Coturnix japonica: one gene and its partner. The protein of the gene in region 1 binds, or shares a complex with, the protein of each later gene. Links are inferred from orthologs where the notes say so. Each region holds a gene or a part of one and is shown on either strand. Other genes may lie near its edges. The genes, in order: CMKLR1 and RARRES2.

The links.
Region 2: the proteins of CMKLR1 (region 1) and RARRES2 are in contact, whole or in part, in a cryo-EM structure (PDB 8ZJG), measured with the Homo sapiens proteins. The link is inferred for Coturnix japonica from reciprocal best matches to the Homo sapiens genes CMKLR1 and RARRES2. Residues at the interface, in NP_001135815.1 of Homo sapiens: Asp20, Tyr21, Leu22, Asp23, Ser24, Ile25, Val26, Val27, Leu28, Phe88, Leu92, His95, Tyr103, His104, Asn116, Leu119, Ile120, Met123, Arg178, Leu183, His184, Gly185, Lys186, Ser188, Cys189, Phe190, Asn191, Trp203, Thr205, His217; in NP_002880.1 of Homo sapiens: Leu34, Phe37, His38, Phe60, Thr75, Ser76, Cys77, Arg96, Leu111, Gly112, Arg113, Leu114, Val115, His116, Cys117, Pro118, Ile119, Thr133, Leu136, Arg137, Gln139, Arg140, His146, Ser147, Phe148, Tyr149, Phe150, Pro151, Gly152, Gln153.

Annotation. Positions count from the first base shown.
Region 1 is NC_029530.1:5,633,935-5,638,191, forward strand, and holds the start of CMKLR1 (chemokine-like receptor 1), read right to left. Parts: upstream 3,064-4,257; 5' UTR 2,309-3,063; coding exon 2,196-2,308; intron 1,107-2,195; exon of another isoform or gene 1,104-1,106; coding exon 1-1,103. UniProt on the Homo sapiens protein: Receptor for the chemoattractant adipokine chemerin/RARRES2 and for the omega-3 fatty acid derived molecule resolvin E1.
Region 2 is NC_029517.1:381,769-385,549, forward strand, and holds RARRES2 (retinoic acid receptor responder protein 2), read left to right. Parts: upstream 1-1,448; 5' UTR 1,449-1,523; coding exon 1,524-1,688; intron 1,689-2,152; coding exon 2,153-2,257; intron 2,258-2,502; coding exon 2,503-2,607; intron 2,608-2,700; coding exon 2,701-2,814; 3' UTR 2,815-2,827; intron 2,828-2,935; 3' UTR 2,936-3,105; downstream 3,106-3,781. UniProt on the Homo sapiens protein: Adipocyte-secreted protein (adipokine) that regulates adipogenesis, metabolism and inflammation through activation of the chemokine-like receptor 1 (CMKLR1). Also acts as a ligand for CMKLR2.

The DNA of each region.
Region 1 (4,257 bases):
ACATCTTGGAGAAGCTTCTGTGCACGATGCTGGAGTGGCCAGTCTCCTCACTGAGTGCATTCACCAGCCTGGAAAGGATGGTCACCTTGAACTTCTTGAAGTCCTGGCCCATGAAGACATAGAGGACAGGGTTCATGCAGCTGTTGGAGGCAGCAAGTGCCGTGGTGATGGGGATGCCAATCTCAAACACAGAGCGTGGGATCAGGTCGGGCTCTGTTTCCAGGATGTTCAGCAGGTGGTAGGGGCTCCAGCACAGAAAGAAGGTGACAATGATGGTGACAATGATCTTGAAGGGCTTCTTGGACTTGGCAAGGCGGTTTCGCCGCAGGCTGAAGGCAATGGAGATGTAGCAGAAGGTGATGATAGAGATGGGCAAGAGGAATCCAGCAAAGAGCCTGGTGATGTTCACCGTTCGGTGTCTCACTAATGCCAGTGCTTGGTAAGACCTATTTCTGGACAGGGAGAAGTTGCTGAAACAAATGATAGAGTTGCGGGCTTGTGCTGTATCTCGGAAGACAAGAGAAGGGCAGCTCATGATGATACCAACCATCCAGATGATCAGGCAAACCATACATGCCAGGTTGGTGGACCGATGGTTTTGAGACCAGACGGGGAAAACCACCGACACGTAGCGATCAAAGCTGATGGTGGTGAGCAGAAAGACACTGGTGTACATGTTGAGGATGAGGAGGAAGGAGTTCAGCTTGCACATGACGGTCCCAAAGATCCAGTTGTAGCGCATGGCCGTGTACGCAATGTTTATGGGAAGGAAGATGTTGAAGAGGAAGTCAGCGACGGCCAGGTTGAGGAACCAAATGGCATTGACTGACTTCTTCATCTTCAGAGTGATGATGGCTATGACAAGGCCATTCCCCAGGATGCCCAGCACGCAGGACACGCTGTAGATGACAACAGAGAGGATCCTTGCAATGTCCTTTGGGTCATAGGAAGGGCCTGTCCACACGCTGCCTGGCTCTTCGTAGGTGTAATCCAAGTAGTCATAGATATCAGAATCATCAGAGTAGTCAGATGAATTGGAAAACGCCATGGTTAGTGCATAAACCAGCGCCTGGTCAGTCCCGGACTCTCCAGATGGCAATGCCCTGCTAAGCAAACACAGTGTTAGATCAGAGGCATGGCTAGAATGGCCATGGGGATGCTGAGGGATCCCTTAGGTCCAGCTCCACTACTGGGGTTCATCTGGAATGTTTATGCCCTGATCAGGAGCAGCACCAGCTCTGGGAGCTGCTGAGCTCATCTTGGTTGTGCTCACCAGAATGTGGTTGCAGCCTTACTCCCCAAAACAGGTCTATTGCCTACTTAATTCCAAGGAAACAATCAGTATTAGGCTTATTAACAGCTCTGAGATTTTCCAAACTGCAAAGTATTACAGTTTTTCTCTTTCTTTCTCCAAAGCACTGAGCAAAATGCTAACTGTGAGCACTAAGTGCTATTATCCAAAGCTGGGCTCTGCCAGCCACTCTGAGCCCCCATTAAGCACGTTCCACTGCTCCCTGCTAACAGCTCTGGGGCTCTACACCTCAAACCCAACCAGGCTGTGCACTGCTGAACATCATCCTCCTGCCAGCACCGCTCCCAAGCCCCCATGTGTTTACACAATAAGCTATTGTTTCTCCATGGGCTTTTCCTCAAGTTCCTTCCCAAGGAGCCCCACCACTCTCTGCCCTTTCCTGCCCTCAGTGACACTCCCATCAGGACACAGAGGTTTGAGGAAGGTGGGCTAATCTCTGAGCAAGCAGCTGGTGGGGGTTCCATCCATGCCATGGATTTCAAAGCCAAAAGGATGCTTAGTGCATCCCCCCATACACAGTGCATCCCAGTCCCCTCCTGGAGCCCCAGGAGAGGTGCCCATGGGACAAGCCACTATTTACAGCCATGAGCTGGCCCTGCTCCTGCACACCCTTAGTGCATGGCTTAACCTCCCCAGAAGCAAAGCTCGGCACCTGGCCCCATTCCTACCAACCTGGGCTTGGAGAAACCCCAACTCCATTTCTCCTCCCTGTAGCAAAAATCCCATAAAGCATATCTGAAAAAGTAAAACGGCAGCAACAACAACAACCAACAAACCAAATCCACACATCATCATGTTTCAGTGTTCCTTCTGGGCTGCAAAATGCTTAGCATGAGCCAAAACCACGTTACGCGCTGTTCTCTATTCATCTCTGTCCTCCTACCTCCATAAAAATGAGCGCAGGAACTGCCCCAAATAATCCAAAAAGCTGTGATTCATGCAGCTGTGCTCGGCTGGGGACCCCCATAGGGCTGAGCCCAGGGCGGCCCCGCACATCGCCAGGATGAGGTCAGGGCTGTTGTTCTTGGGACGGCAACAGGAAGCGGAGAGAACAGCAAAAAACCTTCAAATGCAGCTTTTCTAGGCAAAAAAAAAGGCTTCCGCAGCTGGGAGGACGGATGTGAGTGGGGAAACAGGGGAGTGCAGCCAGAGGAAGAAATAATACGTTGGTCTGCCTTATCCCTGCACTGAGCCACAGGGATGCTTAGGAAACAGCATCTCCTTCCTTGTGTGTCCATGTCCCCACTGAGCACAGGACATCCTCATACCCCACAGGAGCCAGACTCCCGTGTTCACCCAAGCTGTGAGGTGAAGCAGTGATTCTACGTCCCCTTGTGGCTGCCCTACACCAAAGCCCCAAGTCCCAAGTTTCCTCCCAGCCCAGTATGGGGGTGTGGGAACGGAGGGGAAGGGGATGGGAATGGAATGGGATGGGAATGGATGATGACCAGCTCCAGTTCTCACTTATTTCAGCTTGCAGCTACCACAGCAGTGACATCCCAGTGTGATGTTCCCAGTCCTGAGTGCAAGTTGGGCACCATCAAAATGTCCATAACAAGAGCTCAGATCTCACTGCTGCTAAATGCCCAGAGGACCCTGCTGGGAAATGCACACCCGAGCCCTATTTTTAGGTTACATGTATGTAGAAAAACTTTCCTGGCATTTCAAAAGGGCATTTTTGACCTCTTAAAGTTGCCCCCTCTTGGATGCATGGTGATGCCATGGGGAAGAACAGCTTGTGGGGAGCCCCACGCTGCTGCCACCCCTCTGCACCCCCCACCTCCCAAATCCAGGCACCTGCAAATCCCTACGAACAGCCCCACAATCTGCAGCCCCATCAGCAGAGGGAGGAGGCAAAGCCTGTTCCTAGAGGGGAAACCGAGGCAGAGAGTCCTACCTGCATCCACGATGCTTGAATGCCAGGACCCCGAGAGAGGCTGAGTTATGAACAGGCAGATAAAAAAGGAATAACTGGAAAAGGCAGCCTTAAAAAGCCGGCTGTGCCCAGGGTGGGACAGAATAACAGCATGAGTCAGTGTTTTTCTGGGCAGCGCTGTACACGTCTGGTTGGGACGGGACGGTCCATAGAAGCAGTGCAGGGACACAGCAGTGTGGGGGTCACAGCCTGCACACTCCGCTCTGCCCAGAAATAGTATCAGACCTCAAAACATGATGCTGATCCCCAGGTTAAGCACAGAGAAAATCGCCAGCCCCACACCACCTGTTATTGGGTATGGGACAAGGGTTGAGAGCTGCAGTGAGCGCTGTGTGATGAGCATCTCTCCTGGGGATGTATCCCAATTCCCTGCACGTTGTAGGGAGCCAGCTGCACGGCACAGTGCCAGCAAGCCAGATGCATGGCATGGCTGGAAACACAACCACCCCATGGTGGGAGCCATCCTCACTGCAAACCAGGAGGATCTGCACCCCATCTGAGGGTATCACCATGGCTGCTTGGGGACAAAGCCAGCGTGTGGTTGGGGACATCATGGGAAGGTTTATGTGGCACCTGCAGAGCCGCTCTCAGCAGAGTTTAGAGGGGGTAATGAGGAAGGAAACTAAGAGAAGGAAATTGATATGTGCCTGCTGCTGCCGGACAGAGGGACATGATTGTATTGGGGCATGGGGGAACTTTGGAGGCAAGCAAAAGAAACTCCAAGCAAATGAGAGTAGTGGTGACCCACAGGGTCCTAATACACAGCCCTGTAGGTCACCACCATCATCAACCCAAGCCCCAAACCCACTTTGTAATAGCAGGGAGGAGAAAACCCTCAGCTGGCTGAATCCCCATGGGGAAAGCAAAGAATTCCTGCTGGCTGCAGCCAACCCTTCCCTGAGCCCCAAATATTGCTCTGCTCTGACCCAGGCACAACCCGATGGACACCAAAACCCGGAGGCATTTACCTCTCAGCTGGGTAACTCCTGGCACTTCAGTGCACGCAGAG
Region 2 (3,781 bases), on another chromosome or scaffold:
GCCCCCATCACCCATCTGACGGGGTTATGGCCTTGTACTGTGATGCCCCATCCCTGCAGGCATTCAAGGCCAGGCTGGATGTGGCTCTGGGCAGCCTGGGCTGTGGTTGTGACCCTGCACATAACGGGGTTGGGATGGATGAGCACTGTGGGCCTGTGCAATGCAGGCCGTGCTGTGATTCTGCTGGAGAGAAGCACTGCTGGCTCAGAGACAAACTCAGCCCTTTCAGGCCAGAAAAACTCCAAGGAAAGCAGCCAAATGCAGAGAAAAACTGTAAAGCGTGGGTAGCTGGGCTCAGGTGAACCTAATGAGGTTCAACATGGCAAAGTGCAAGGTTTTGCACTTGGGCTGGAAGAACCCCAGGCACCTGTACAGGCTGGGAGGAGTGGTCCTTGAGAGCAGCTCGGCTGAGAAGGACCTGGGGGTCCTGATAGATGAGAAACTTAACATGAGCCAGCAGTGCGCTCTGGCGGCCCGGAAAGCAAATGGGATCCTGGGCTCCATCAGGAGAGGGGTGGTCAGCAGGGATAGGGAGGTGATCGTCCCTCTCTACTCTGCTCTTGTGAGGCCCCATCTGTTGTACCGTGTCCAGGTGTGGAGCCCTCAGTACAAGAAAGATATGGAGATTTTGGAAAGGGTCCAGAGGAGGGACAGGAAGATGATCAGGGGGCTGGAGCACCTCCCCTATGAGGACAGGCTGAGGGAGTTGGGTTTGTTCAGCCTGGAGAAGAGAAGGTTGCGGGGTGACCTCATTGCAGCCTTTCAGTACCTGAAGGGAACTTACTCCCAGGAGGGGAGTAAACTCTTGGAAAGGGCTGATAATAGCAGGACACAGGGAAATGGTTTTAAGTTAAAAGAGGGAAGATTTAGGTTGGATGTTAGCGGGAAGTTCTTCACTAGGAGAGTGGTTAGGCCCTGGAACAGGCTGCACAGGGAGGTTGTGGATGCCCCGTCCTTGGAGGTGTTCAAGGCCAGGTTGGACGGGGCCCTGGGCAACCTGATCTAGTAAAGGTGTATGTTTGGTGGCCCTGCCAGGCAGGGGGGTCAGAACTACATGATCCTTGAGGTCCCTTCCAACCCGGGTCATTCTGTGATTCTGTGTGCTTGGAATGGCAGAACCCAGAAAGCTCCCCAAAGTGCCAGCTCTGTGCACTGCTGCTTGTGGGGTTCCTGAGGGCGGGGGATGTTGTTTGCAGTCCCATCTCCACCGTGGGGCTCAGGCCCCCATCAGCCCCAGAGCCATCGCTGCGCTGCTGCCTTAGGACAGATCTCTGCTCTGTCTTTGCCCCCCTTCACCTCTCCCCACCGGGCTTTGATGTGCTGGGGACGGAGCTGACGATGGGGTCAAGGCTGCCGCCATCCATCCCCGCGCGCCTCTGGCCACAGCCGCAGCCCCTCCTCTGCGGGGGCTGAGCGGGGCCGTCCGGTGGGCGGAAAGGGGCAGTTCCCAGGAAATCGGTTAATGAGAGACCAAAATCAACAAGCGGTGGTGGGCAGGAGGCTGGCCGGGCCGCACGGCGGGGATGAAGCTGCTGCTGGGCATCGCCGTGGCCGTGCTGGCGTTGGCAGACGCCGGGCAGAGCCCGCTGCAACGGCGCGTGGTGAAGGATGTGCTGGACTACTTCCACAGCCGCAGCAACGTCCAGCTGCTCTTTAGGGAGCAGTCAGTAGAAGGGGCCGTCGAGAGAGTGAGTGCCGGGGGGGGTATGGGGACCCCCGTCCTGCTCCAGGGGGGCTGTGGAATTGTGTGAGGTGAGGGGCGAGCTGTCACCGAATGAGGGGGACGGTGGGTGGCGTGGTGTCACTGCTGGGGATGTAGAGCTCCACGGCGGTGCCTGCTGGCACGGCACGGGGCTCAGCTACTCATTAACCATACTGTGAGCAGGACTGAACAGTGGCCGGTGTCCTGCCGTCCCCTGGCAGGACACAGCATCCCATTCCTGTCCCCTCCCTGGCAGGGAGCTGGGCACTGTAGGATGGGTTTATACTGAGGGTTGGGAGCCTCAGTGCAGTGCCTGGAGTTACTTTTTGGGGCTGGGGTCACTTTTTGGGGGCTGGGGTCCCTCCATTCCTACTCCTGGTCCTGCTGACACTCTGGGGCCCCCAGCCCACCTCCCCCCACACCTCTCATGGGACATTTCCCCTGCACCAGGTGGACTCATCGGGGACGTACGTCCAGCTGCGCCTTAACCTTGCACAGACGGCATGCAAGAAGCAGACACAGAGGAGACAGAACTGCAGGATCATAGAGAGCAAGGTGAGGTGGGGGCTGCACCCCCTGAGCCAGCACCCCACCCCCAGACACAGGGACAGGGTGGTCTCACCCCTTCTCCCTCCCTCCTGCCCTGGTTGCCATGCACCAGTCCTCTCCAGCAGAGCTGCTGGTGCTGGGGGTGATCAGACATGGCCATGCCCAGCTCCAGGGGCGTGGGGGACATCCCCAGGGCTGGTGGTGGGGGCCGGGTGCTGGGACTGCTTGTGATGGCCACGTTGTCTCCACAGAGGAAGCCAGCCTGCTTGGCCTGCTACAAGTTTGACAACAGCGATGTCCCCAGGGTGCTGGACAAGTACTATAACTGTGGCCCCAGCCACCACCTGGTTGTGAAGGTGAGCTGTTCTAGGGGGGGGCTCAGCCCCAAGAAGTGCTCTGGGAGCTGGCACATCCCACAGCTATACCAGCAGCCATGCTCTGCCCTGCAGGAGATCAAACACCGTGATGAGGCTGAGTGCCGGGCTGTGGAGGAGGCCGGCAAGGCGAGTGATGCCCTCTATCTGCCAGGCATGTTTGCTTTCTCCAAGGGGCTGCCAGCCTAGGTGCCCATGCACGGTAAGGCCCACCTGGGATGTTCCTCTGGGGTGAGCATGGGGAGCTGCAGGCAGCAGCCTCCTCCTGCAACCAGCCCTGAGCACCCCCCCGTCCTACACCTCTCCGCAGTACAGCAGCCACCACATCCCCATCCCAGGAGGAAGATGCTGACCTGGGGCCCCCAGCCCCCAGCTTGCTGACCCCCCAGCACTGTGCAGTGAAGGGAAGGTCATCCCACACTGCCCCCCAGCTCCCGGCAGTGTCTGCATGCACTATTAAACCCCAGCTCTGCCTCTCGTTCTCCGCTTCATTCCCACCCAGGATCACTGTGTGTGGGGCAATGGGGGTGGGCTCCACCGCCCTGCTGTGCCACCCCCAGCCCGAGCCACACTCCGCTCTGCAGGCACACTGGTGGTCTTGGGAGGAGGGATGTGGATGCGCAGGGGCCCGGCACAAAGCAGCAGAGACCTCAGGGACAGCACATTTACTACACAGCTGCTCCCCGGCAGCAGGACCCCGTGACCTCCCTCAGTCCCCACGCGCAGCCCCCCAGGTCCGCACCCCTCTTTGCAGTGCAGTCAGTTCCAAAACCTGCCAGTGCTGGTCCAAGGGCGGGAGTCCATTCCCCGCATCCCAGGTCCCCGTGGAGTCCTCGAGCTGGGAACACACAGGGGTCCATTCCACACACATGGGGATGGAGCAGCACGGAGCAGAGCGGCCGCCTCGGTGCCTTTGGGCTGCTCAGAAAACATAGGATCCAGGGTCGGTGCGCCCGCTCAGCGCCCGCTCAGCCTGCGCAATGGTGTCGTCGGCGCGCCGGCCCAACTCGCGGCACTCCCGCAGCGCCTCGCTGAACTGCCGGTACGCCTCCTCCACGATGGAGCTGCGGCGCAGCGGCGGTGGCTCCCAGAACCCGGCCTGCACCCAGGGCTGGGCTGTGCGCGGTGGAGCGGGGCCGGGGCTGCGGCCCAATGA